7 linked regions of the Bombyx mori genome follow. Each later gene encodes a partner of the first gene's protein in a complex. Links are inferred from orthologs where the notes say so. Each region holds a gene or a part of one and is shown in the gene's direction. Other genes may lie near its edges.

Region 1 (4,681 bases):
AAACTGTATTACGTTCCGTTTTAAACAGTGACCAGTATAGCTAACTATAAAAGAACAGTTTCGCAGTATATTAAATTGACGTCACATCTTACAATGCTGGCAGTGCTTATCGGAGCATAGCTGTAGTGTGGCTGCTTATGGCGTTGTTCTTGAAATCTTTCCGCTTTTCTTTGTGGGTGACGCATTTACGTTGTAAATGTTTTTTTTTTATGATTGAAAGATTACTGGTGGCCCGGAGGCCTTTCCAGCTTCACCAGGACAGGTGGGCGAGCAAAGGCTCAGCCAGGAGGGGTGGGATTTGCTAACAGCTACCCGAGCGCCTCCGAAGGAGACCTAACAACTCGAGAGCAATTGCTTCGCGAATGAATCTACTACCGGATCGGAATCGCGACCCACTGAGAAGATCCGGTGAGAAACTCAGCGAGCTGATGCATGGGTTAGGTTGCACGTCGACCTCTTTGTCGAGTTCGACGAGTACGGTTACCGGGGTTCCTCAGCCTGCTCCTAGTGTTAGAGCTGAAGGTATCTAATGTAAGAGTTATTGGATCTGATGGATCCGTAAGGACATGTCTAGGGCGACGACGGTGACTTGCTCCTGCGTGATCAGGATTCGGGGAGTAATCAGCGGCGGCAACGATAAGGCGATTATCATGACGTGTCTATGGGCTCCGACGACACGAGAACCCTCTCAACGTGGCCGCCGATAACTACATTGCCGATCTTGCGGACCAAATGGTAAACATTCGACGTCACCCAAAATACGTCATCTCGGATCCTCCTGATCCACTAACGGTGCTTTTAGGTACCCCAAGCACCGGTCATCGTTCTCGTCAAGCCCCTCGCTTGCGACGAAGGACTGGGTGAATAAATTAACCCACAGACACAGCCCACTGAGTTTGTCGCCAGATCTTTTCGGTGGGTCGTGTTTCCGATCCGGTGGTAGATTCTGCGCAGCACTGCTCTTGCTAGGGTTCGTGTTAGCAACATCGTCAGGTTTGAGCAACGTGAGCTCACCTACTAGCCTGGTGACGCTGATATGATCTCTCTAGAACATCAGCTTAGGTAGGAAAAAAAAATCTTTGCTGCAAACATTAGGATTATCCATTAAATTAGCACCTAACAGCGCCGAGAGTGGATAATCTAAAAAAGTTAACTGAATTTGTCCAAATACATAAACACCATTTTACTGATATTATATTTCATCTCATATCATTTCGTTTCATTTAATGTCATCTCAAATCTCAATTGATTAATGTCGCAAAAACAACTTCATTTAAATTTTTTTAAACAATACTTTACTTTATTAGGCCGTATAGTATGATACCTTCACCTTTTCAGTTGGAAAACGGAGTTACTACTACTCTACTACTACTGACATGACAGTAAAATAAAAATGTCAAAACAAAATGGCTGTTTTATTAAGGTCAAGCTGGATTTTACTTAGTGCACGTTCTACTTTTTCATCGAAATAAATTTCATGATTTTACACATAATATTGAAAATGAATAGTTTTAATAATATTGAGTTCTAGATACAGTATTAAATTCTTTTATAAAAAGTTCAATTGTAGTCTAGTAGTGTCAAAACAAAAATCATAAGAATGGAGAAGACTAACACCAAGCAGAAGAAAGATAAATACGAGGAAGATGATGAAAGGCGTAGGTCGAAAAGGTCGAGACGGGCTAGATCTAGATCTAAGTCACTTGAGGAACAGCAGAATAGGGAGTATAGAAGTAAACGCCGGCGTTCCAAATCACGCTCACCTCATTACAAGGCTAGGGAAGATAAACGAGTTAAAGACACACAAAAAGAGCCAGAAACAAAAAAAGATGCCTCTACAAAGCCAGAAAGACGCGCAAAAGATACTGATATGTTGAATACTAGAACAGGAGGTGCATACATTCCACCAGCAAGACTGAGGATGATGCAAGCGCAGATCACGGATAAGTCCTCGATAGCTTACCAAAGACTTGCCTGGGAAGCTCTCAAAAAGTCAATTCACGGTCACATCAACAAAATTAATGTCGGTAACATAGGTATCATTATAAAGGAATTATTGAAAGAAAACATTGTCAGAGGTCGAGGTTTGTTATGCCGTTCTGTTATTCAAGCCCAGGCAGCCTCGCCAACATTCACTAATGTATACGCGGCTCTAGTATCAGCAGTCAATTCACGTTTTCCTAATATCGGGGAGTTGTTACTGAAAAGATTAGTGATTCAATTCAAAAGAGGTTTTAAACGCAATGATAAGTCAATTTGCATTTCCTCTGCATCTTTCATTGCACATTTAGTGAATCAGAGAGTGGCACATGAAATTCTGGCTTTAGAACTTCTCACTTTACTAGTTGAATCACCAACAGATGATTCAGTTGAAGTTGCCATAGCATTCTTAAAGGAATGTGGCCAAAAATTGACTGAAGTATCATCTAAAGGTGTAAATGCAATTTTCGAGATGCTAAGGAACATTTTGCACGAAGGTCAGTTAGACAAAAGAGTTCAGTACATGATAGAAGTAATGTTCCAAGTTTGGAAGGATGGGTTCAAAGACCACCCGGCACTGATTGAAGAGTTGGAGCTCGTGCCTGAAGAAGAACAGTTCACACATCTATTGATGCTGGATGACGCTACAGATCCTCAAGATATCCTGAGTATGTTATATTCTATTAAACTATCCATAAAAAAATAAGCCATAAAACACTTAAGTAGATTATCTGTACAGTCTGTCAATTGAATTATTTGTTCCCCTAAGTTATTTAATAGCTATTGAGGGTATGCACAAGAGTTATTGTAACACTTAAAATGCTAAAAGTTTTGAGTGTATATAACACTCTAAACGAGTAAAGTTTTAATTTTTAATAGGATTAATCAAAAATTTTTATATATAGTTTACATAAAAATGCTTTTAGCTTATTTAAAAATGTAACTTAAACAATCTCAATTTTTTTTCATATACTTTTTGCTTTAAGTTTTAAGATAGTAGTACTCTGTGTTAGTGAATTCAATATCCATTATTTTAGCCTATTTTTATTTTCCATCGTATGTATTAACTCATTTATGCCCAACATTATTGAATGTTATAAACAATTTATCTTAATGCTCCATTTAAAACAAATGTAAAATAAGCAAATTAGTATAAAAGAATAAAAATAACAATTTTCCCAAATGCTTCAGATGTTTTCAAATTTGATGAAAAGTATGAAGAGAATGAACAGAAGTACAAGAATCTTTGCAAGGAAATACTTGGTTCTGATGCTGAGTCCGGTGATGAAGATGGTTCAGGAGAAAGCGGTAGTGAGGAATCTGATGAAGAAGATGAAGAACAACCAAAAAAAGAAATGACTATTATTGATAACACAGAAACAAACTTAGTGGCTCTGAGACGCACTATATACCTGACAATCAACTCCAGTTTAGATTTCGAAGAATGTGCTCATAAACTAATGAAGATGCAACTGAAACCAGGACAAGAAGTGGAACTATGCCACATGTTCTTAGACTGCTGTGCTGAGCAGAGAACATATGAGAAATTCTATGGCTTATTGGCCCAAAGGTTTTGCAACATCAACAGAATATACATCGGACCTTTCGAGGAAATTTTCAAAGATTCATATTCAACAGCACACAGGTTGGACACGAATAGACTCAGAAATGTCAGCAAGTTTTTCGCCCATCTGCTGTTTACAGATTCCATTAGTTGGGAATCTTTGGAATGTGTTAAATTGAACGAAGAAGACACAACTAGTTCTAGTCGGATATACATAAAGATTCTGTTTCAAGAACTGGCTGAATACATGGGACTAAAGAAACTGAATGACCGTCTACAAGATCCGTTCGTATTACTTTGTTTTGATGTTTTTTTAGTTTTATAATAATAAATAAACCCTCAATTTCAAATGGAAATATGACAAATGACAGTGGAAACTCTTTGAAAGGATAGCTCAGGGCACAGACAAGCGATTATATATTGCTGAGAGCAATGACAGTTGTTATGAGAGGTTCACAATAATGAATGTTGATTTTAACTACAATTGCTACATTGCTATGCTCATGGGTGTGATTTAATACTAGCTTTACCCTTTCTTTTGAGTTAGGAGATGGTTTCGGAACCAGTGAACAAAGTTTACGGCTTACCAAAAACTATCTTTATGGTTTAATCTTGCGAACTTTATTACTAGCGAACTGCCCTCGCTTTGCTTCGGAAACATTAAATTTTATTATTGATAGCTGAGCCCCGCGATGTTAACCGCGGTTATTGTCGTACCGCGGATGAAGCCGCGAGGCGAAGCTAGTCTAAAAAAAGTAACATAAGTTACTCCTTATATCATCAGCTACCTATCAGTAAAAGTCCCTGCAAAATCGGTCCAACCGTCCCAGAGATAAGCTGGAACAAACATACAGACAAAAATTGTAAAAAATGTTATTTTTACCGTATATATTCATATGAATGTAGTAAAAAGAGGCTATTTCAATATTACAAACAGACACTCCAATTTTATTTACATGTATAGATTATTTTCGAATACTAACAGTTTTCGTGGTTACGGACGACAGAGTTGTTATTCGTGAACATTTTAGTAGCTCACATCCCATCTGGTGTGAAGTGGTTACCGGAGCCCATAGACATCTACAACGTAAATGCCGCCACCGACCTTGAGATATAAGTTCTAATTTCTCAGTATAG
Region 2 (3,325 bases), on another chromosome or scaffold:
AAAACACGTTACAAAATCATTTTGTGAACAAAGTCTTTTCTCGAAAAATATCAACGTGAACTTATAAGCGATATTAAAAAATTAAAATGCCATTTAGTTTTTTAAATAACTCAATGTGTTATTCATCAAAACCAAATGAATAAACGACAAAACAAACAAAAACAACAAAGCTTAACCGGCATTTTGTTTAGTGTTGCCATAAGGAAATTTACATTTTTCTATAGCTAGGTGCGTAATGCCAATTTAGCGCACTAATTAACGCGTTAAGACGCAGGAGTAGTAGTAGCATTACAGAAATGCAAAGAAAACTATATTATTAATAAAAATAAGTAAAGAGAACGTACGGTTTGTTTTCAAATTCAATGTTCACGTATTGATAAAAATTACTATGACTCTGTTAAACCAATTAGCTCGGTAACACTGTGTTGTGTCACAACTTCGGATCTCATCCCATATAAAAAAAATATGTATGGGAGATTCCACCCACTGCAAAATTCGATGGGTTGGAAATTCATCTAATATACAAAAATCCACGACAATAACATTAATTCCGTATTATAATATTTTAAAAAGCACATTACAATGTCAAAAGCACATCCACCAGAATTGAAAAAGTAAGTAATATTGGAAGTTTGTTTGTTTCACTCGCAAACAAAGCTGGCGTCCTTGTTATAACCTAAAATTAAAAGAACAGCGTAAATTCTTTAAAATCCCAAATTAGTCCGTAGAAATTCGCATATTTGATGTTTATACACAAAAAAGAATATGTACTTTAAATGGTGCTTTTATATATTTCAGATTCATGGACAAAAAATTGTCAATAAAGCTGAATGCGGGTCGCGCTGTTACCGGTGTGTTGCGCGGTTTTGATCCATTCATGAATTTAGTTCTTGATGAATCAGTCGAGGAGTGTAAAGACGGTCAGCGTAACAATGTTGGGATGGTGGTTAGTATATTTTCAAGAACACTCTAAAGATAGCTTTTGTCCGCGACACCGTCCGCGTGGAATAGTTACTTAGGCATAACGCTAAATTTTACCCCCCACTTCATTTACGTAGAAAGTGAAAGTATTTTTTAAATATAGAATGTTAAGGAGCTGTTTAAATCCCCTATTTTGAAACATTCTTTATTGGTGCTCCACTTGTATTGGTTTTACCGTGATGTTATATAGCCCATAGCCTTCCTCAATAAATAGGCTATCTAACACTGAAAGAATTTTTCAAATCGGACCAGTAGCTCCTGAGATTAATGCGTTCAAACAAACAAACTCTTCAGCTTTATAATATTAATGTAGTATAGATTATAATAGGGCAAGTTTGGTTATCAGAGCCGAAAAAGGTTGCCACTATTGGTGGCGCATTAAAAAAATTTAATACTTTGCATTTTATTTTTTACAGCAGAGAACTTTCACAAACATTTGTTGAATTCTGAAAGAGATTGTCGCTTAGATGTGTGGATGAGCTCACGGCCCACCTGGTGTAGGTGGTTACTGGAGCCCAATGACATCAACAACTTAAATGCCATCACTTAACTTGAAACATGAATTCTAAGTCTCAATTTTATAGTACAACAGGTGTCCTACCCTTCATACTAAAGCGCATAATTGCTTCACGGCAGAAGTAGACTGGGATATTGTATCTACATGTGCTCGCTAAAAAGATACTCTACCACCAGTAATTATGCAAATAATAATTTTTGGGGGTTTGATTTACATTACACAATTCATTCAGGGTGGAGATCATTCATAAATACTCATTAAGTATTGTCACTACAACAATTCTTGATGTTTGAAGTGTATTTAGTATAGATGAGTCGACTATTATCAAAGGCGGCAATGTGACTTTTGGACAATTATTGGTAAATCAGAGAAACGAATTATTGACTTTGTATTCTATTGGCAGTCACAAAACTCTTCTGAACGACATCTTAGATAAATAACAGGTTAAGTATTAACCTTTATTTAATGCAGGTTTTGAACCGTATTCTTTGAAGGAGACGATTATATTCAAATAAATCTGTATTGACATATCAATAACATTTTTTTGTCCAAATGCACAGATTGCCACCTTTGATAATAGACGACTCAGATAGTGTGTTTGATATTTAAAAAATAGTTGTAAGTTACATACAACTATTTTGTTTAGCTGTAAGCATTAGTTTTGCTGTGTCCTTCACATGGTATTTTAGAAATCACTACTATTGCTCAGCAGTAGCTCGTGATTTTTTATGACAAAAAATATTTGACTGTAAAGGAACTGAATAAAACAATTTAATCTTTCTTTCAGGTAATTCGTGGTAACAGTATTATAATGCTGGAATCTTTAGACAGACTTTAGTAGACTTAGAGTGGGCAAGAAATATCACCAATGCTGTAAATGTGCTTCACTTTTCATCAATAAATAAATATAAAACTCGGATCTAAAACTTAGTTTCTACAGCAACAGCAGCAACAGTAAAAGAAAAAAAAAGGAAAACTGATAATTTTATATCTAAACTTCACTATTTAAATTTAATGTGATGTTAGGTTAAGTTAATAAATAATAATGAAACACCTCAGATTTGTGTTTGTTTTGATCTATATATTCTACTAGCGACCCGCCCTCGCTTCGCTTCGGAAACATTAAAACACACATGAAACCAAAAAAAATAAAAAAAGTAGCCTATGTTCATCAGGGACAATGTCGGCTTCTAATGGAAAAAGAATTTTTCAAATCGGTCCAGTAGTTTCGGAGCCTATTCGAAACAAAGAAACAAACAAATCTTTCCTCTTTATAATATTAGTATAGATGAGTCTAGCTCTAGATCATGCAACTACTGCTGTTGGTCATTGTAGTAATGCAATTGGCACAGCTAAGTATCAAACTGAATATACCTTTGAAGAAATAAATTCCTACTCTAGAAGTTCTGGTGGGAAAAGCAGTATTTTGGTATTGTGCAGGTTTTTCAGGTGTTCACTTGTTAAGGCAAGTAAATCGATAGATGAGTCGTCTATTATCAAAGGCGGCAATCTGTACATTTGGACAAAAAATTTTTATTGATATGTCAATACAGATTTATTTGAATATAATCGTCTCCTTCAAAGAATACGGTTCAAAACCTGCATTAAATAAAGGTTAATAGTTAACCTGTTATTTATCTAAGATGTCATTCCGAAGAGTTTTGTGACTGCCAATGGAATACAAAGTCAATAATTCGTTTTTCTGATTTACCAATCATTGTCCAAAAGTCAGATTGCCGCCTTTGATAATAGTCGACTCAGATGTTATTTAAACCTTATCGAAGATACGCTATTCTTCTTCTTCTTCTTCTTTGTCGTTTCCTTATT
Region 3 (4,637 bases), on another chromosome or scaffold:
CTCAGGGCGTAGATACTTAACTAACTTTAATCAAATTACAGCACATCCCACGCACTATACTCCAGCCGACAGAAGCGTACCCTTTATTGCTTCCTCTCCCGGACACGACGATCCCGGAGATCAGTCCCCCGGAGACACCGGACATACAGACCGAACGGACAGAGAGCGACTCCAACCCGAGCATCACGACCACCAAGAGCCTACAACAATAACCGACGAACATCAATCTCAACCGATGTCCAAAGATGATGAAAAACCCTACAAAAATCAAAACGATGCACCAATTAAATCAGAAAGACCAATGGACGTAGAGCATAAAGAACAGACTTATCAAGAGGATGCGAATTTCATTGGACAGGAACAAAATTACGAAGCAACAGAAATGCAATACCAACCTGAATACCAAAATAATTACGAGGAGCCGACTTACGCAAACGAACAATATGAAAATTATGAACAATATCAGCAATATGCTGACCCCAACGCGCAATATAGCGAAGAACAATACAACAACATAGCCGAAGTCAACTACCAACCCGAGCAGAATTACGAACAAAGCTATGAGAACACAGCGGAGGCTCCACAAGAACAATATTACCCAGAGTCAAATGACACAAATCCAAGTGATGCTCCAACGAAAATGGCGGAGGAACATCAGAGTTAGCAATTCGTATGTTTTTATTTCTTGCAACATTCCGTTACAACGCTTTTGATAGAGTAACGTGCCACTAATATAGATTAGCTTTCGGCGTCGGATAAATAAACTATGAAAGTTGAATGTGTTGAATAATAAAATCTATTGAAATGTTTATCGAGAAACGAGTTAATAAATCGCTCAATACTTATATTGCAATTGGATATGATGTTTTATTTGATGTTTTTTTTATCTACAGGGAAAACGTGATTATTTTGTTTTTTTCTTCAACTTAAGCCCCATGATCTCGATTTTGTCTTGACGGTTTCTAAAACAATATACAAAGTACTTAAGGGTCAGGGTGCGCACAGAAGTCGTGTAGGACTATGCGATTTATAAGTGGCACGAGTTGGCTTCGAACCTATTTGGACTGCCAAGCAGTTCTTGTTTGCATGAGACCGACGTTACACTATTTAATTTGAAGAAAATACAGCACGAAACATTAAGGACTATTTGGCGGGCACTCAAGCTGTTACTTTTTAATTTAATGTCTCTTCAGGCTTAAAATTTACATATTAATCGATTAGAATTCGTAAAAGTACATTGAAATATTAACCGTAGTCTTAGTGAAAAATAGGCCGTGGCATAACGGGCCCTTCCAAAAAGTCCGTGGAAAATAGGAAGAATAAGTCCGTCTTAGTAAACCAACTGTCCACCCATTTGATTGCAAGGTATTTTCATCTCATCTAAGTCCTGACCGTCTTTTATATTAATTCATTGAATTTCATTTTCTTTATTCAATTTAATTCCAGAACCAATTCAATTTGTATTATGTATTGTTTTAGTTCCACTTTTAATACCACAGACACGGAACCGCACTTCGGTACAAGTTTTGACTGTATGGGCTTCATTCCTGTTGCCTATCCAAATGACAATTCAAAAGAAAACTATTAGTAACAACATCAACTTAAATAAATTTTATTTCTAACAAATATTAAGTGTATTAACTATGATTTCTTAATAAAACTAGCTGTTCACTAGCAGAGCATATTTTAATATTTGATAAGTAATATTTAATTAATATAACCTACATATTATTCAGTCAAAACAACAATTTAATAAAATTTCGTACTAATACAAGCTCGTTAGGTTAGTAAGAAACAGAACAAAAATGGTTTGTGAGAAGTGCGAAAAGAAATTGGGCAGAGTAATAACGCCGGACCCTTGGAAGGCTGGAGCTAGGAATACCGTGGAGTCCGGCGGACGTGTTGTTGGAGAAAACAAAGCATTAACCGCCAAAAAAGGACGATTTAATCCGTACACTTCCACATTTCAACAGTGCAAGTGAGTAATCCTGATGTTTAAAAACCAATTTTGCCTCATACATTCTTAATAATACTTCCCCAATTTTACCTCATACATTCTTAATAATACTTCCCCAATTTTAACTCATACATTCTTAATAATACTTCCCCAATTTTAACTCATACATTCTTAATAATACTTCTCCAATTTTAACTCATACATTCTTAATAGTACTTCCCCAATTTTGCCTCATACATTCTTAATAATACTTCCCCAATTTTACCTCATACATTCTTAATAATACTTCCCCAATTTTACCTCATACATTCTTAATAATACTTCCCCAATTTTAACTCATACATTCTTAATAATACTTCTCCAATTTTAACTCATACATTCTTAATAGTACTTCCCCAATTTTGCCTCATACATTCTTAATAATACTTCCCCAATTTTGCCTCATACATTCTTAATAATACTTCCCCAATTTTGCCTCATACATTCTTAATAATACTTCCCCAATTTTACCTCATACATTCTTAATAATACTTCCCCAATTTTAACTCATACATTCTTAATAATACTTCTCCAATTTTAACTCATACATTCTTAATAGTACTTCCCCAATTTTGCCTCATACATTCTTAATAATACTTCCCCAATTTTGCCTCATACATTCTTAATAATACTTCCCCAATTTTACCTCATACATTCTTAATAATACTTCCCCAATTTTAACTCATACATTCTTAATAATACTTCTCCAATTTTAACTCATACATTCTTAATAATACTTCCCCAATTTTGCCTCATATATTCATAATAATACTTCCTAATCCCGAACGCTTCAGACAAACACACTAAATACTGCTGGACTTTTAGTTACCAATATGTAAAATAACAATACAATAAAAGTTAGTTGTTACTTGTTTGAAGGATGTTTTTTATATTCATTATCCCTTCTTCTCTTGAGTGATTTATTTAGTACACTACATGGGTAGATTAATAGGGCCATAGATGATTGTAATGTGTACGTTGTTTTTATATGAAGAGATGCAGTTGAAGATTTATTCGAATTTAAAAATGGCTCTCCTTTGAAAATGGGACAAATTTATGGTTGCAATAACTAGGTTTGTGGAACCTATTTCAGTACATTACACCATACCACCTCCACCTCCTCGTGTCGTTTTCCTCATTACTGAACTCCCCCGCTGCATCAGTTTCTTCCGTACGATTTCCCTCCATCTGCTGCGATCCTTAGCTTCATGAAGGACATTGTGGAAGTTGATGTTCAGAGAAGATTGTATTTAGTCCGACCATCTCGTGGTACTGCATCCTCTTGGACGTTTGCCATCTTCCTTTCCTGTCAGCATCAGCTGTTCTAGATTGTGACCCTCTTTACGGGCAATATGTCCGAAGAATTCCAGCACCCAACGAAGGCATATATTGGAAAGACTAGTTATGATATTAAGCTCTCTCAGAATAGTCACGTTGGTGAGAAAGGCATTCCATGGAATCTGTAACGTTTTTCTCCAGCTCCACATTTCAAAGGCGTCTATTAGGTCTAACCATACCTCCAGTAAAATGTATTAAAAGTTTTTAAAATATATTCTTTTATTTTTCAGAATCTGCAGAACGAAAGTACACCAGGTCGGATCACATTACTGCCAAGCTTGTGCATACAAAAAGGGTATATGTGCCATGTGTGGAAAGAAGATTCTAGACACTAAGAATTACAGACAGAGCTCAACTTAGTTTATTGTTATGTTATCCTAGTTCATAAGAAACATTACCTAAATAAGTTCTAAAAGAAAAAATATAGTGTATTTGTAAAGCAATGCTTTATATGCCTTGGACTATTTTAAGATAATAATAAAGATACTGGAAATTTCCTCACGGATGGTAAAGTGTGATTGCTTCGAGGAATAAACAGATAGGATTGTAATGCCAACCTATGAACACCCACAATTAGCGGTACTACAGATAATCAAGACTTGAATCCAAGAAATCGGTTTCAAAAATGAAATGAGAATAATTCTAACACTCATGAATGATGACAAATTATAATGATTGTTACAAGTTGTCATCTGTCCTATCTATGTTCTAAATAATCTGAATAATTCTGAATATATGTTTATTTATTTATTTATAACTTTATATACTAAACGGTATAAAGGACTTAATGCCATAGGCATTCTCTAACAGTCTACCTTAGGGGGGTGCAGAGATGAACCTTGGTAGGTGTAGTGTGAAGGTGATATTACTTAAACATATGTGTATATGAGTCGTCTATTATCAAAGGTGGCAATCTGTGCATTTGGACAAAATATTTTTATTGATATGTCAATACAGATTGATTTGAATATAATCGTCTCCTTCAAAGAATACGGTTCAAAACCTTCACTAAATAAAGGTTAATAGTTAACCTGTTATTTATCTAAGATTTCGTTCCGAAGAGTTTTGTGACTGCCAATGGAATACAAAGTCAATAATTCGTTTTTCTGATTTACCAATCATTGTCCAAAAGTCAGATTGCCGGCTTTGATAATAGTCGACTCATATATGACATACATAATATTTATAGATACAAATACTCATACTTAAATAAATACATATACATAAAAATATATATAATTCTGTATATTCTGAATAATGAAACCATAAGACTGGCACAAACATTTCACTTGCCTTCCAATTT
Region 4 (4,161 bases), on another chromosome or scaffold:
TCAATAACTTTATGAAATGTGTGGAAATTATACCAACAACAACAAACTATTGGACAGATATTGTGGATAGGCAACGCTGTACAAATATCGTCGATAATCTCGTTCTCACTGACTATCTGTAACCTCTGGGTCTCCAGAGTCAAATAGAGGGACTCCAATAATATCAAATAGGCCTCCAAATAAAGGGACTCCACTTTTCTTTGTATTCTGTTATGTATGTACCTAGTCAGGTCATAAATTCTGTCACATGTTTAATGTAAAATAATTGAAAAAAGTTTATTCATTACGTAACCATTCATATACCAAAATGAACTTAACAAAACATAGATTCTTATGACACTAAAGTTTATTCAAAATGACCTCCGTGATTTTGAATACAGGCCTTCAATCTGCGCGGCCAGTCGTCTATCGCAGCACGAACGAGGTTCATGTCAATATCGGCGGCTGCCTTAATCAAGGATGTCTTGCGTGACTCCAAATTGGGATGAGGCTTTGAGCACGCCTTTTCCTCCAAGTGTTGCCATATCTTGTAATCTAACGGATTCAAATCTGGACTGGAGGAGGGCCAGTCTTCGTGCCGGATGAAGTCGATTTCACGCGCCGCCAGCCAGTCTTGTGTGCTCTTCGCTCTATGAGCTGGCGCCGAATCTTGTTGGAATACCCAGTGCCTGTTATTGAACATGGTATGAGAAACAGGTTCCACAAGGTTCGTCAGGACTGTATTTTGATACACAACTGCATTCGTTTTTACACCTTTCTCACAAAAATGTACCTCTGTTAATCCCCATTAAGAAACTCCCAACCATATCAAGAGCGAGGATGGAAAATGACCTCGTTGGACACGCGGAATACGGTTGCTCGCTTCTTCACTACTGTGTGCGTACACCTTATCATTTTGTTTGTTGTAGCTCTCTTCTACGGTAAAAATTTTTTCATCCGAAAAAACAATTTCCCGATATTTTTTTCCCGCGTACCGCTTCAACAAAGCGCGGCATCTCTTCAGTCTCAGGTCCATTAGACGAGCATTCAAACGATGTCCTGTTTTTCTTCGATATGCCCGAAGCCCTAAGTCTTCATTTAACACCCTTTTCACCGTGGTTCTGCTTAACCCCATCTGAAGGGCCAACAGTTTCTACTTACGTTTGGGATTTCTTTGAATTCGCGCCTTCACAGCTTTTATCACTGCTGGAGTCCTAACAGACCGAGGGCGACCACTTCTTGACCTGTCATCGACACTAGAGTCTTCATTGTATCGTTTGATGGTACGATAAACGAATCTTTTGGTTATATTCAAATTTTTCAGTATGTTAAAAATTTGAATTGGCGCGTAACCGCAACGATGCAACGCAATAACTGCAACACGGTCTTCTTTAAGCGTCCACTCCATATTTAAAAATGAGTAAAATTCTAAAAGTATACATTTTTATTTTCATGAACAATTCGAAATTCGAATTCAATAAACTTTTTTGTGGCCAGCATTCTAAAAGAAAAGTTTTTACTGTGTGACAATACTTATGACCTGACTAGTTATAATAAGGAGCACTCCGAGCACACATTTCATCTTTTTACCATTGCACCGCTCGCGACTGGAGCAGATTGTTTCAGAGATCTTTTTGCCATGTACCTTCTGGCTCATATTACTCTGGAATAAAGTCCCCTCCACTGTGTTTCTAATTGCTACGACATGACATTCTTCAAAAAAAGTTTTAAGGAAAGTCATTTGCGGTAGGCAGCTGCTTAGCTATAGTACTGGCGTTGCTGATGTCCTTGAGTGACTGTGACCAATAACTGGCAGGCAAAAAATTGACCTACAAAGGCAAAAAAATGAGTTAAATAAATAAATATAAATATTTACTGACAATCACGCCACGTTAACTGGTGATAAGTTCGTAAAGAACTTGTGTTACAAGTTAACGGAGTTAAGTCCATATAACGGAAATAAATGTAAGATTTTTTATTATACACATACATATATTTAATATACATCCATAACCCTGGAAAATACATTTATATTTACCATACAAATATCTTCCCTTGGCGGGATTCGAACCCGCGACCCCCTTGTGTAGTGACCATGTCACTTACCACTACACCGGACGGCCGTTAGTTTCCTATGCTAACTCCTATAGGATATGTATAAAGATACCTCACCTTTTGTCATACAATTTTCAAAAACATTTCAGGTGCTTAGCCTCGATGAAGACAACGGCAGAGCTATGGTCAATATAGTGATGAAAAATGAAACTGTCAATCTAAGCGAGTTCATGATGCATCCGGTCACAAAGTCCGAATTCGACAAGGAATCCAAAGTTATAAGTACTTAATTTTTTTTCATTTACATCTGTCCTCCTTGTCTCTGATCTCTTGGCAGAATGGTCGTGACCGTTGTGTGTTTAGTGATGGGTTTTATCCGGTGACACTTCTGTCAGTTACCTGTGTCTGGTGCCTTATGTGCAGGAAGCAATTTCTTGTAGCCCTTATCTGGTCAGTCTTAGACAACTATAAACTTTTTATAGGCCACCATATTCCTTTCTAATTTGACTATTTACTACTTGTGAAGAATACTTAACGGTAGGTAGTGGTTTGGCTCTGCCCCTGGCATTGCTGACGTCCATGGGCGACGGTAATTACTCATCATCAGGTGGGTCTAATGCACGCCTGTCTACAAAGGCAATTAAAAAAAATCAGGTCCATCTGTTCACAATATTTTGTGAACAACAAATTGTGTGTTACACAATATTTTGTGTGTTACAAATTATGTAAACAAATTTTGTTTAAAACAGCCGTGAAGCTTATAAACCGTCTGGTTTTAATAAGTTGCAGTGCTTCACAGCGTGAAAGCAGTCATCTTAAGATATAAGACCAAAGTCACCATTGAAGAACGCCTATAACCAAACTGTAAACCAGAATGCGTAAATACTGGTGGTAGGACCTCTTGTGAGTCCGCGCGGGTAGGTAACCACCCCGCCTATTTCTGCCGTGAAGCAGTAATGCGTTTCGGTTTGAAGGGTGTGGCAGCCGTTGTATCTATACTGAGACCATAGAACTCATGTCTCAAGGTGGGTGGCGGCATTTACGTTGTAGATGTCTATGGGGTCTGGTAATCACCTAACATCAGGTGAGCAGTGAGCTCGTCCACCAATCTAAGCAATAAAAAATAAAATACTTTGTAGAAGGAAGGAATTTTATAAATTTTGGGAATTTAGTTTCATTACACAATATAAAAGTGTTGAAGTCTGTTGTGACCACCTGTTAGGCTAGTATTGTCTTGTCATGACACTCAAATCACAATTGTATATATAAATTGTGCTTGGTCTGATTCATCTATATATATTATAAGTTCTACATTTATTTTTCAATTGAGTTACAATAATCGGCTAAATGTCCAAGTATTGTAACCTAATTACGATTTTTTTCACAGGTTCTATTGAAGAACTCTCTCACAATGTGAAGTTTAATTTAAATGTATTTTCTCCGCGGAGGGGCCTGTAAGGTACAATACTTGGACCATTCACATGTAAATTTGTTTTTTTTTTGCAAGAGCAATACACTTAGTAAATATAAAAAAATGTAAATATTTATAGATGCAGACAAGTACGAAAAATACAAGAAAGATGAAAAAGTTCCTCAATCGTCAAAAGAAAAAGATATAGAGAGTTCACCTAAAAGAGAAACGAAGAAAGAAAAGTATGAACATACCGACAGGCGTGAAAGAGAAGATTGGTCAAATGGTAAAAATAGAAAAGAGGATAGACATAGGAGAGACTCGTCAAGCACCGGTGAAGAGAGATCTCAGAAGAAAAAGAAGCACAAAAAAAGATACAGCAGCAACGAATCTTTAAGTTCTCAATCAGAGGATGAGAGGAGGCGGAGGAAGAAAGACAAGAAAAAGCGTGAAAGAAGCGTGGATTCTGAAGATGAATATAAAAAGAATAAAGGTAGCGCTACACCGGACGGCAAACGAGATATCGATAAGAAGAGGAAGGGAAAAAAGAAGAAAAGAGACAGGGATCGTTCACCGAATTATAAAAAACATAGAAAATAAGCTTTAAATGAATTACAATCTTCATCATTTTTATTTTTTTATTTTCCGCTTCTTGTTTTGACCGAAAAAGGCCCTTTAGAATTGAAACTAACCGGTTTAATCTCAGAACCCTTGAA
Region 5 (3,040 bases), on another chromosome or scaffold:
GAGAATATTTAAAGGCGAACAGAATTACGAAATGTATATCTTGATAAAAACAACTCTCTCAGTAATGACTGGCTTCTGGTTATTAAGTTTATCAAAAATATTGAATAAACACGGTAGTGTATTTTCTATGGCAACTGGTTTTAAATTGATCAATTAATCAACATAACAACATACCAAAGAGTTTAGAAATACGACGATATCAACGTACCCTAGAGTGTACTTTGTAAGTACTCTAAGTTGATATGTAACTGTGAGCATAGAAAATACACTTAATTAAAATACCTGTGAGCTTAAGATAAGTGGATGAGGAGAACCGCAGACCGGGCTCAGTGGTGTGGATTGGGAGAGGCTTATGTCCAGCAGTGGACGACTGTGGGCTGTTGATGATGATGATGATGATGATGATGAGCTTAAGATTCCATGATAGATGCAGCTGATCTAGCGTGGTTGTAATTATGTATATCTCACGGGTTTTTTTTTATTGCTTTGGTGGGTGGACGAGCTCACAGCCCACCTGGTGTTAAGTGGTTACTGGAGCCCATAGACATCCACAACGTAAATGCGCCACCCACCTTGAGATATAGTAAGTTCTAAGGTCTCAAGTTTAGTTACAACGGCTGCCCCACCCTTCAAACCGAAACGCATTACTGCTTCACGGCAGAAATAGGCAGGGTGGTGGTCCCCACCCGCGCGGACTCACAAGAGGTCCTGCCACCAGTAATTACGCAAAATATAATTTTGCGGGGTTCATTTTTATTACACGATGTTATTCCTTCACCGTGGAAGTCAATCGTGAACATTTGTTTAGTATGTATTTCATTAGAAAAATTGGTACCCTCCTGAGATTCGAACACCGGTGCATCGCTCAACACGAATGCACTGGACGTCCTATCCGTTAGACCACGACGACTTCTATCCTTCCTTTACCTTTTTTTACTTTTTATTTTATCTTTTATTAACCTCTTTGCTTTAATAACTTTGTTGCGTGAGCTGTAGAAGTGTAGTTAATAGTTAATTTTGTTAACTTACTGTTTTTTTGTTTGTTGAAACGTGCTATTAATGAAAAATTGTAACCGTTTAGTATCTCTAAAAGTCCACAAGTATAGGAAAATGTGACAACACAGCTGTACTCAACTGTTTTGGTCAGCATTATCGGCAAACGAGTATCTGTCCCACTTAATAATAAGTGGCGATCGTCTCTGATGAACGTCAACGTCAGAAGCATAGACTAAGACTAATTCCACTGCCGGGGCTCTTCCCAAGCTTCGTTAAAAGATGAAAGCTTATTTCAAAACCAGATGATATGTAAACAGATCTAAGAACTTACTGTGAAAGATGCAGTGAAAGAAATAATAAAAAAAACTGTGCACAACCTTTGGTGTTTAGATTTCAACGTTAAGTATTGTATCTATGGTTTAGATACGCCGTGTCTGCAGTAATCTGCACTGCAATTTATGTATTGTCTATGAATACTCTTTGTTTTGGGCTGCTACGTGATATCAATATTAGCTGAATTAGAATATAAACTTTAGAGTCTATACGATTTCAACAAGCATCTTGCCTTTAAAGTAAGTGTGTATATTTTATTAGAAACGTTTTATTTATTTTATAACCATTTAATTTTACATTAATGACATTACTAACTCGAACTATAACCTTAAAATAATTTACAGAATAAAATGGGTGAAAGATACAACATTCACAGTCAACTTGAACATCTACAGAGCAAATATATAGGCACAGGCCACGCCGACACTACAAAATATGAATGGCTTATGAACCAACATCGCGACTCTTGCTGCAGTTACATGGGTCATCCGGATTTGTTGAGTTACTTTGCGATCGTAGAAAATGAATCTAAAGCGCGCGTAAAATTCAATTTGATGGAACGAATGCTTCAACCATGCGGCCCACCGCCAGAAAAGCCTGAAGATTAAACGCTTCGATTTTAAAAATAGAATTAAGCTAATTTACTTATTATTTGACTTTGAATCCCTTATCATGACATAAATTCGAGCAGTTTGTTTTCATTTCTATAACCTTTAACAAACACAATTAGTCTATTCAAATAGTACCACCAAAAACTCAACTATTATCAATAAAAACTACAAATTTTAATAACAGGTATAGTTTATAGTTTAGAATTGGTTCAATGGTCAAATGTTTGACAATCTTATTTTTATATACAAACTTGTTTCATATTGTTTTATCTCAAAGAAATCAGTTTTGATTTCCATTTAGCCTTATATATATACAGTCAAAATCTGTTATAACGACATCGAAGGGACTGCTCATATTCAGTCGTAAAAACCGATAGTCGTAACAACCGGTAATGTTTAATGTGTATCGTGCAAGTACAAACAAATCGATAGGGAATTATTGGAAAAATATATTTACAAAATACGTGATTTTTCTTCAATATTAATTTGTTTTCTTTTTCTTTGCGACATTTTCAAAGTTTCACGAATAACTCCACAAAGTTTTGGTGCGTTTTATGTATAGATAAGTAATAAACTAACTGAAGAGATATGAAGAAGCGGTCTTTGACTCTACTGCATGCACGTGTTTTGTTTCTAAGAATTAGAAAAGACCCTACACTAAACTAAATCCTATTGTTTTCTTTCCTGATTTTAATAGCCATTGAAGACAAATGTGGATACCTATTCAAATTGTTTACAATATAGCTTAGCCGGTCGTTCTAACAGATCTAATTCTCCAAAATATTAGTTAAATGTGGTCGTTTTATGAGGTATGTCGTTATTACCAATGTCGTAGAAAGCAATATTTTTAATAAGGCGGTCATATGGCATTCAGCCGGGACCTTTGTTCTAGGTTGTTATAACCGGCATGTTGTTCTAAACGATGTCGCAGTAAACGGTTTTGACTGTAGTTTAAATATAAAGTAATTTAAGAGATTCTTTAAATAACCTGGGAGTATTTTAATCATGCATATGCTTATTAAAATATTGAAAGCTTCTTTTTGATATTTTTATTATGTATGTCTAAAATTGTTAAATAGGTTACATTACAATGAACCACC
Region 6 (4,161 bases), on another chromosome or scaffold:
TGAATTATACTGAGTACAACATGGTACAAATCCTGCCCAGTAATCGACGTCGTCGTTATGTACATCGGGGTTTAGGTGTTTGCGATTTTAATACGATTTTTTTCTTTTCCTGATCCCATCTATGTCGGATCCTAGTTCCCATGCCCAAAGAAAATGCAGATCAACTTGACTGGATTCCTAAATGGAAAGAACGCACGCCTTTTCATGGGAGAGTTATGGGAGCTGTTGCTGAGCGCGCAGGCCAGTGAAAACGGTATACCCGAATCATTTACTCAGCAGAAGAAAGAAGAAATAAAGAAGAGAATGGTATGCATTAACTTCAATATTGACTAACATTGAAGTAGCAAATTTCATAAATTTTATTAATTGTCCCATATAGTAAATATTTATTTGAGCATATAATCCAATACAGACAGTCATGTACTTTTGGATGATCAAAATGTATAATATCCACCACTTTACCATTATGAGAATAAGTAAGAAAATTAATACTTTGGTTGTAAAATGAAAACACATTACGTGAAATAGGAGGAGCAGCAGAACAAGGACAAAGACAAGGAGCGACGGAGATCGAGGTCCCGGTCGCGTTCCCGGCGCCGCTCTCGCGACCGACGGCGCTCGCGAACTCGTTCTCGTGATCGTTCCAGTGACAGAAAGTTAGTAGTAGACGTATATTTTCCAGGTAGCAGCATCCATTGCTGGTGGTAGTAGGGGTGGATTGCACATGGATACTTAATACTATGCTGCCCATTTAATAATACAAAACAATAGTGTGCTTAGTTGAATAGCGGATCCTCTGAAATTAAACGCTTAAAATCATTAACAGAGTAACAGTCGCCGTTTATCACTATGCCCACATAGTGATAAGGAGTAAGCATTTGGAATATATTTTTGAGAATGTAAAGGTTGTCTGTCATACATATATTAAATTAGTAAAATTCGAGTTAGTCTATTCATGGAGTAAAATAGAATATAAAAGGGGTTACTACTGAAGAGCAGTAGAATCACCATGTGACTATTTTCTGTTGGTTGTGCACATTCGGAATTACATTTATTTATCGCCAGTCAACTGATTAATTAGGAGTAGTAGTAGTATATATTGTTTTATTAAAATTGCGTGTTGCTAATTAGTTACGATAATTACAAATATTTTTTAAATTGTGTTCTTGTACTGTTAATTGTTAAATAGCAAAATATATTCGTATGTATAATTTAATAAGAAAAAAAACTGTCAAAATCATAATTTTAGTTTTAACCTGGGAAATGGTTAAAGAGCTACCATTGATCTATCTCATTGCTGAGTATGAGTCACCACCCCCAACGTGGTACAAAATCGTCGCCCAAAACACGTCATGTCGGATCATCCCGTTCTACTAACGGAGCTTTTAGGTACTTCAAGCACCTGTCATCGTCTAACCCGTCGCTTGCGACGAAGGGCTCGGCGAGTAAATTAACCCATAGACACAGCTCACTGGGTTTCTCGCCGGATCTTCTCAGCGGGTCGCGTTTCCGATCCGGTGATAGTTTCTGCGAAGCACTGCTCTTACTAGGGTTAGGTTTGAGACCCCGTGAGCTCACCTACTTGTTAAGGTTACGCTGGTCTCTGAAGGTCATCAGCTTAGACAGGAAAAAAAAGGTACGAAATGTGGAGCGTGTAGCTGAGGATGATAGCTAGTTAGACATAAGATAATGACCATTAAAATTACTCTAGGCATCGTAACGGCGGAAGTCCGCGTCGATCGAGACGGCGCAGCAGCCCGATCAGAGACAAGGTCAGCCCTGCGAAAACTGAACCGGAAACCAAAGGTACTGTTAATGTAGACGTAAATAAAAATACAATGATAGTGATAATGTTAACATAATAAACTTGTTGGTGTGTTGTTTTCACTTAAATATGATTGTATTGTAAGATTTTGCTTCTGTTATCGTTGCGAAGTAAAATGTCTACATTATCTTTTGTTAACTGGTTATGGGGCGTATTGTAAGCCCGCACGGGTAGATACCACCATTCGGTGTATTTGTGCGGCAAACTAGTCCTGCGTTTCAGTTTGAAGGGTTGGATTGATGTTATACAATGCAATTACTCTTGGCGACTCATATTTACTGTGTTCATATATTATAACGAAATTGTATATTATAACAAAATTGAGACTTTTTTTTTTTTTTTTTTTTTTTTTTTATTGCCTTTGTAGGCAGACGGGCATACGGCCCACCTGATGGTGAGTGGTTACCGTCGCCCATGGACTTCAGCAATGCCAGGGGCAGAGCCAAGCCGCTGCCTACCGCTTAATACTCTCCACAAGCCTCGTTTGAAGAAGGACATGTCATAGCGCTCGGGAAACACCGCGGAGGGGAGCTCATTCCATAGCCGGATGGTACGTGGCAAAAAAGATCTCTGGAAACGCACTGTGGATGACCGCAGCGGCTCCAGGTAGTATGGATGAACTCTACTCCGGTGGCGGGCGGTGCGATGGTAAAAACGAGATGCTGGTATCATCTCGAACAATTCCTCAGAGCACTCCCCATGGAACATACGGTATAAAATACAGAGGGAACCGAAGTCCCTCCGCAAACCCAGAGGCTCCAAACGAACCGAGAGAATGGGATTATCGACAATCCGAACGGCCCTCCTCTGTATGGAGTCAAATGGAAGAAGCTGGTATTTGGGAGCCCCGGCCCAGAGATGAGAGCAGTACTCCACGCGAGGCCGGACTTGTGCTTTATAAAGCAAAAGTCTTTGTCCAGGCGTGAAGTACCGCTTCGCTCTGTTGAGGACTCCCAGCATTTTGGACGCCAACTTGGCTTTGCCTTCCAAATGACTCCGAAACTGGACATCGCTCGAAATGTCGACCCCAAGTATCCCGATACTCTCGGAAGGTTGCAGGGATACTCCTTGGAATTGCGGCGCCATGACAAAGGGGTCCTTCTTCGCAGTGAACGCGCAAACTTGTGTCTTTATCGGGTTGAATTGAACCAAGTTCAATTCACCCCATTCGGAGACTCGCCCCAGAGAGTTCTCCACTTCAGACACAAGTTTTGATCGTCTCTCTTGCACCACGCTCCGAGAGAGACTCTGATGGCCGATATATCGCGCATCCCCCGTGCTATCATCTGCATAGCAATGCATGCCATCAATAGACAGCATGTCATTGATATACAGGATGAAAAGCGTGGGGGAGAGCACCGAACCTTGTGGAACGCCAGCGTTAATGGTCATGGTATCAGAACAGTCACCGTCTACAACGACCGTGATGCTCCGCCCATCCAAAAAGCTAGCGATCCACTTGCAGAGACCCTCGGGGATTCCGTAAGATGGTAACTTCGATAGAAGTGCCCTATGCCAGACCCTGTCGAAGGCCTTCGCGATATCAAGGCTCACAGCGAGAGCCTCGCCCTTGCTCTCCAAGGCTTCAGCCCACCTGTGAGTAAGGTATACAAGAAGATCGCCAGCTGAGCGACCGTGACGGAAACCGTACTGTCGGTCACTGATCAGCTGGCGATCTTCAAGATACTTCAGGAGTTGTGTATTTATAATTCGCTCCATCACCTTGGAAAGCAAGGAAGTTATCGCGATAGGCCTGTAGCTCGATGGGTCCGACCGGTCACCCTTCTTGGGGATAGGGTGGACATGAGCAGTCTTCCATGAAGACGGAACCTTGTTAGTGCAATAAGAGAGGCGATACAAACGCGTTAGCGCAGGTGTCAGCTCAGGGGCGCACGTTTTCAAAACCACTGCGGGGATGCCGTCTGGCCCACTCGACTTATGAACGTCCAGGAGTCGGAGCTCCCGCCTGACTGCACACTGTGTGAAGCAGATATCCGGCAGGGAGCTATCACACCAGGGGATGCTCGGTGGTGTGGCACCCCCGTCGTCCATAGTCGAGTTCGAGGCGAAGAGTTTGACCAGAAGGTCAGCCTTCTCTTTCGCGCTGTGGGCCAGATTGTCATCGGACTTGCGCAGTGGTGGGAGACTAGACCTGCAAAAGTTTCCTTCTGCAGCTTTGGCGAGCGACCAAAAAGCACGGCTCCCGGAGGGATAGCTCTTCAATCGCTCGCCAACTCTAGCAACGTGCTCCGACTTCGCCTTGGCAATTACCTTCTTGTAGGACCTGGAAGCGGCGTTATATTTCCGCCTTTCCCCTGAGATGTTAGGATCCCGAC
Region 7 (4,946 bases), on another chromosome or scaffold:
TGAGGTTGTGATGTCCAAGAGCTCTAGTCACCACTTATCAGTTGGCCGTTTAGGTTTATCGACATGGTTTATTTAGAGGAGCATATAAAGACTCTAGATATCGATTCTCGATTTTTTCAACAAATCCATTAAATTCTCATTGCATTATTATTATAGCTTAGCCAACTAAGCCAACATATTTAAATCACCTCTTAGTGTCTATGGTCTTCCTGTTTAATTTAATTTCTTATTAAATACGTTACATTTGTTCCATTTCATTCTTCGTACAATATTTTCAGCCTTAGTTACAAAATATTTGCTGTATGGCCTAGTTACTTTTGTCTGTCCAATAAACGAACTAAACATTCTCTGTGGTTCGATGGCTTAGTTTACATATTACGTGTATTATCTGTGCTATTTATCATAGATACCTACCTACTTGGCTTAAAAAACTTTGTTTCGAAGCCACTAGAAATTTATAAAAAAAAATCTACCTACTACCTACATATCACTACTAAAGATGGGTTAATACCGATATTTGTCAATATTAGCGAATACGAATATATTCATGATGTAATATTATAATAACTTAACTAATGCGTGAATATATCCTGATATCTTAATATACTTCGATAAAACGGGTAAACGAGTTAACCGAGTACGGTATTCGTGAAATAAGTTAATAATCATAGATAATACACATAAATTAGTTATTAAATTAATATAAATAGTATACTGTATCTAGGAATTTGATTTCATACTAAATATTTTACAAGTAATATTATGTACATTAATATGAATATTATTATTAAACCAGAATTTGGTCAACATTGTACATTAATATAAACAACAAGTTAGTAATATTATTTATTTCTTATTGGTGCATAAAAACATCAGCTTTTTTACTTTTTCTACCGAATGACCGGTACGTCGCTCAGAAATGAGTATTCCAGATTTCGAAAAAATCCTCTGATACGGTACTGAGGTGGCTAGTAGGTACACAACAGTTATATTAATAGTATAATCCATGAACCGTTTGGTTAGAAAGTCATTTCGATTCAAAAATCAAACTTTTATTTATAGTTTGAGAAGTTCTTAGAAGATAATTAACTACTACCACAAAAATATATTGTCATCATAATTTATTACATATAAACATTTAATGAAAATAAAGCTCACCGATTTTATTCCAATAAATGTGGAAATGCACTATTTTGTCTTGAGTCGAATCTTTAGTACAAACATAAAAAGTAATGCATTTAAAAATTCCCACTGGCATCTTTGACATGTAAAAAGTGCAATACAAAATAGTCCTTAAACTCATAGCGAAATATAGTTATTTTCATTGCTCAGTATATAAACATGTAGATTATCTCACTTACTCTTAGCGCATGCAGTGCATTGATATGAATGTGATAAACAGATATCCGCGAGACACGTACGGCGTATGTCAGTATATTTTCGTGTGATAGATATTTCGCTAGGAGTAACAGTGTTCTGTGGATAGATACAACCCGACTGATGTGAGCTGGCTATTATTATGAATAAGTGAATACGGAATATTAGCATATCAGAATTCGACGGATTACCGATAGACGAATACAAGCTGTATTACGAATATCTTAGTGAATGCTAATATATCGGTATCACCCTTAACCACTACCTACCGTATTCACTTCTCTTAAAAATGTGTATAATCTATGCTTCTCATTTTGACAATAAATAAAAAAAAAACCTGAAGATTTCCTTTCCTGTACTTAGCTGTTTATTGTATGTAATCAAATTAAATTTAGGTTAAACTGAACTAAAAAATTATAAACTGTGCAGAACGTAGAACTTAACATGGACAGCAAGACAACAAAAATGCCGAAAGTGGCAAAGGTACGAAAAAAGTGTTTGATGGTATTGTTGAATAATATTACTCCAATTTTAACATGGATCTCACGATTTTTAGGTGAAGAATAAAGCACCAGCAGAAATCCAAATAACAGCTGAACAATTACTTAGGGAAGCCAAAGAACGAGACCTTGAGATATTACCACCGCCACCTAAACAGAAAATATCTGATCCTGAGGAACTTCGAGACTACCAACATCGTAAACGTAAAGCATTTGAGGACAACATAAGAAAGAACAGACTTGTAAGTAAATTCAATTTATTAGTCGCTTACAATGTATAAATGACTGTTTTTCCTATTAATGTAATTGTTTCTCAGTTTTAAGACCATCCAATGCTTAGTTTTACTAGCTGATAGAGTTCACCAAATTAATTTCATTAATTGATTTCGTGCCATTACGATCCTTTGAACAATATAGGTTTCATGCTGTTTCCACAATAAGAAGGGTACTAAACAATTTCTACTCAGAGCATTACTGACGAAAACCAGATGAGGATACTTTTATTTAGTAGTATTTCTTCAAGAAAACAACAAATAATATAATAATATCGAATTTTAGTTTAATGGATGCTTTGTTTTTGTTTTCAGGTTATTGGGAACTGGCTTAAATATGCACAATGGGAAGAATCACAAAAGCAAATCCAAAGAGCTCGTTCAATATATGAGCGTGCTTTGGATGTGGATCACAGAAATGTTACCTTATGGTGAGAGCTATCATTACAATTAACAATTTTATTTGAAAAATTATTAACTTATGTGCTCTTGGTACTGCCAGTGTTTAAACCATATGACTATTTTAAAAAATGTTTGAGAAATCTGTGGTGTTAATTTTTTTTTGCATTCTTGGCTCATCTGATAGTAATTGTTAGTCACACTACTGAGTACTCTTTGTAAGCCTCATTTGAACAAGGACATATTGTTGGATCACTCAAGACATGGGCTTTAGAACAAAATTCATGTCACAGTGAAGAAAAAAATTAATTCTTAAAGAGTTACCATACAAAGATCAGCTTATAATAGAACATATAAAAAAGATTCCTATGTCACTCTGTTCACATTACAATTTTATTTGGTTAGTAAACTTGTAGACAATTGTGGACGAAATGTTAAGATGTTTGATATACTTGTAATGACCAATACAACTATACTAGAGTTCATAGCCTTTGTGCTACCTAAAGCCCAATATATTTAAGGAAATACATACCCGATATGAAGAAATTTCATAAGTAAATAAGAACAAAGTGTCATTACAAAATTGATACTCTATTAATGTATTGTGAACTGGCATGTAATATATCATCCTGCCTATTTCAACAGTTATGCATTTGGTTTGAATTGTCCAACAGTTGTTTTATAAAGGAATTGAGACTTCAATCTCAAATTGATGCCTATTTAGTCCAAGAGCCACTTATTTAACAAATAAAACAATCTGTACTTTGAAAAATCTGTAAAAGTCATGGACTTTCTTGGTAAATTTCTTACAGTTTTAACTGTTAAATTTGCGTCACTCTTCAATTATCCACACTACCTTAACTACCTGTACTTTAGGCTGTTATACCACACCAAAATATTCTCAGCGTATCATGGGTTTTAGGCTGAAGTATACTGAAATGGAAATGAGGAACAGACAGGTAAACCATGCCCGTAATCTATGGGACAGAGCTGTTACAATTCTGCCAAGAGTATCTCAGTTTTGGTACAAATATACTTACATGGAGGAAATGTTGGAAAATGTAGCTGGAGCAAGACAGGTGATATTTTTTATACATGTACAATTTCTCGTATAATGATAATAGTCACTGACTGTAACTGAAACAAGGTTTCTAATTTACTTTTGTTTCACAGGTATTTGAACGTTGGATGGAATGGCATCCAGATGAGCAAGCTTGGCAAACATACATAAACTTTGAATTGAGGTACAAAGAACTTGAACGGGCTAGACAAATCTATGAACAGTTTGTTATGGTGCATCCAGATGTAAAGAATTGGATAAAATATGCAAAATTTGAAGAAAACCATGGTTTCATAAATGGCTCTAGGACAGTTTTTGAGAGAGCTGTTGAATTCTTTGGTGATGAAGAATTAGATGAAAGACTGTTTATAGCGTTTGCCAAATTTGAAGAAAATCAAAAAGAACATGACAGAGCAAGAGTGATTTACAAATATGCTCTGGATCATGTCCCAAAAGACAGAAATAAAGAACTTTATAAAGCTTATACTATTCATGAAAAGAAGTATGGTGATAGATCTGGCATTGAGGATGTAATAGTAAATAAGAGAAAGTATATGTATGAACAGGAAGTTATAGAGAATCCCACAAATTATGATGCATGGTTTGATTATATTAGATTAGTGGAGAATGAGGGTAATTTAGATGACATAAGAGACACATATGAGAGAGCAATTGCAAATATCCCTCCTTCAAAGGACAAACAATTTTGGAGGCGTTATATTTACTTGTGGATTAATTACGCTTTATATGAAGAGTTAGAAGCAGAAGATTTAGATCGAACAAGACAAGTTTACAGAACCTGTTTAGAATTAATTCCTCATAAGATATTTACTTTCTCAAAAATATGGCTCATGTATGCTCAGTTTGAAGTGAGATGTAAAGATTTAAAGCAAGCAAGAAAAACACTTGGTATGGCTCTGGGCATGTGCCCCAGAGATAAATTATACAGAGGTTATATAGACCTTGAGATACAGTTGAGAGAATTTGACAGATGTAGAATATTATACCAGAAATTCTTAGAGTATGGTCCAGAAAATTGTGTAACATGGATAAAGTTTGCAGAGTTAGAAACTCTGCTTGGAGATACAGATCGCGCAAGGGCTATTTATGAAATAGCTGTAGGTCAACAGAGATTAGATATGCCAGAATTGTTGTGGAAAAGCTATATCGATTTTGAGGTATCACAAGGAGAAACTGAAAAAGCAAGACAGCTTTATGAAAGACTTTTGGAACGAACAGTTCATGTCAAAGTGTGGCTTTCATATGCTAAATTTGAATTGAATGCTGAAAATGCTGATAATATTAATGTTGAATTGGCAAGACGGGTATATGAGCGTG

Evidence for each region.
Region 2: pre-mRNA-splicing factor CWC22 homolog (region 1) and small nuclear ribonucleoprotein G share a complex: the UniProt entries of both Homo sapiens proteins name them as parts of the minor spliceosome. The link is inferred for Bombyx mori from reciprocal best matches to the Homo sapiens genes CWC22 and SNRPG.
Region 3: pre-mRNA-splicing factor CWC22 homolog (region 1) and cysteine-rich PDZ-binding protein share a complex: the UniProt entries of both Homo sapiens proteins name them as parts of the minor spliceosome. The link is inferred for Bombyx mori from reciprocal best matches to the Homo sapiens genes CWC22 and CRIPT.
Region 4: pre-mRNA-splicing factor CWC22 homolog (region 1) and G-patch domain and KOW motifs-containing protein share a complex: the UniProt entries of both Homo sapiens proteins name them as parts of the minor spliceosome. The link is inferred for Bombyx mori from reciprocal best matches to the Homo sapiens genes CWC22 and GPKOW.
Region 5: pre-mRNA-splicing factor CWC22 homolog (region 1) and splicing factor 3B subunit 5 share a complex: the UniProt entries of both Homo sapiens proteins name them as parts of the minor spliceosome. The link is inferred for Bombyx mori from reciprocal best matches to the Homo sapiens genes CWC22 and SF3B5.
Region 6: pre-mRNA-splicing factor CWC22 homolog (region 1) and serine/arginine repetitive matrix protein 1 share a complex: the UniProt entries of both Homo sapiens proteins name them as parts of the minor spliceosome. The link is inferred for Bombyx mori from reciprocal best matches to the Homo sapiens genes CWC22 and SRRM1.
Region 7: pre-mRNA-splicing factor CWC22 homolog (region 1) and protein crooked neck share a complex: the UniProt entries of both Homo sapiens proteins name them as parts of the minor spliceosome. The link is inferred for Bombyx mori from reciprocal best matches to the Homo sapiens genes CWC22 and CRNKL1.

Annotation. Positions count from the first base shown.
Region 1 is NC_085110.1:1,337,465-1,342,145, reverse strand, and holds the start of pre-mRNA-splicing factor CWC22 homolog, read left to right. Parts: upstream 1-1,371; 5' UTR 1,372-1,600; coding exon 1,601-2,648; intron 2,649-3,171; coding exon 3,172-3,829; intron 3,830-4,681. UniProt on the Homo sapiens protein: Required for pre-mRNA splicing as component of the spliceosome. As a component of the minor spliceosome, involved in the splicing of U12-type introns in pre-mRNAs. Promotes exon-junction complex (EJC) assembly.
Region 2 is NC_085133.1:8,585,246-8,588,570, reverse strand, and holds the end of small nuclear ribonucleoprotein G, read left to right. Parts: exon of another isoform or gene 1-488; intron 489-493; exon of another isoform or gene 494-497; 5' UTR 498-582; coding exon 583-614; intron 615-798; coding exon 799-946; intron 947-2,285; coding exon 2,286-2,336; 3' UTR 2,337-2,556; downstream 2,557-3,325. UniProt on the Homo sapiens protein: Plays a role in pre-mRNA splicing as a core component of the spliceosomal U1, U2, U4 and U5 small nuclear ribonucleoproteins (snRNPs), the building blocks of the spliceosome.
Region 3 is NC_085130.1:5,680,966-5,685,602, reverse strand, and holds cysteine-rich PDZ-binding protein, read left to right. Parts: upstream 1-1,543; 5' UTR 1,544-1,805; coding exon 1,806-1,978; intron 1,979-3,564; coding exon 3,565-3,694; 3' UTR 3,695-3,773; downstream 3,774-4,637. Other genes in the region: drebrin-like protein, read left to right, coding at 42-664. UniProt on the Homo sapiens protein: As a component of the minor spliceosome, involved in the splicing of U12-type introns in pre-mRNAs. Involved in the cytoskeletal anchoring of DLG4 in excitatory synapses.
Region 4 is NC_085127.1:6,320,577-6,324,737, reverse strand, and holds the end of G-patch domain and KOW motifs-containing protein, read left to right. Parts: intron 1-2,183; coding exon 2,184-2,316; intron 2,317-3,421; coding exon of another isoform or gene 3,422-3,492; exon of another isoform or gene 3,493-3,493; intron 3,494-3,584; coding exon 3,585-4,045; 3' UTR 4,046-4,074; downstream 4,075-4,161. UniProt on the Homo sapiens protein: RNA-binding protein involved in pre-mRNA splicing. As a component of the minor spliceosome, involved in the splicing of U12-type introns in pre-mRNAs.
Region 5 is NC_085126.1:5,965,206-5,968,245, reverse strand, and holds splicing factor 3B subunit 5, read left to right. Parts: upstream 1-1,408; 5' UTR 1,409-1,568; intron 1,569-1,673; 5' UTR 1,674-1,679; coding exon 1,680-1,937; 3' UTR 1,938-2,016; downstream 2,017-3,040. UniProt on the Homo sapiens protein: Component of the 17S U2 SnRNP complex of the spliceosome, a large ribonucleoprotein complex that removes introns from transcribed pre-mRNAs.
Region 6 is NC_085128.1:8,257,536-8,261,696, forward strand, and holds part of serine/arginine repetitive matrix protein 1, read left to right. Parts: exon of another isoform or gene 1-135; coding exon 136-306; intron 307-528; coding exon 529-656; intron 657-1,711; coding exon 1,712-1,806; intron 1,807-4,161. UniProt on the Homo sapiens protein: Part of pre- and post-splicing multiprotein mRNP complexes. As a component of the minor spliceosome, involved in the splicing of U12-type introns in pre-mRNAs. Involved in numerous pre-mRNA processing events.
Region 7 is NC_085124.1:5,696,699-5,701,644, forward strand, and holds the start of protein crooked neck, read left to right. Parts: upstream 1-1,658; 5' UTR 1,659-1,821; coding exon 1,822-1,860; intron 1,861-1,933; coding exon 1,934-2,119; intron 2,120-2,464; coding exon 2,465-2,580; intron 2,581-3,470; coding exon 3,471-3,627; intron 3,628-3,721; coding exon 3,722-4,946. UniProt on the Homo sapiens protein: Involved in pre-mRNA splicing process. As a component of the minor spliceosome, involved in the splicing of U12-type introns in pre-mRNAs.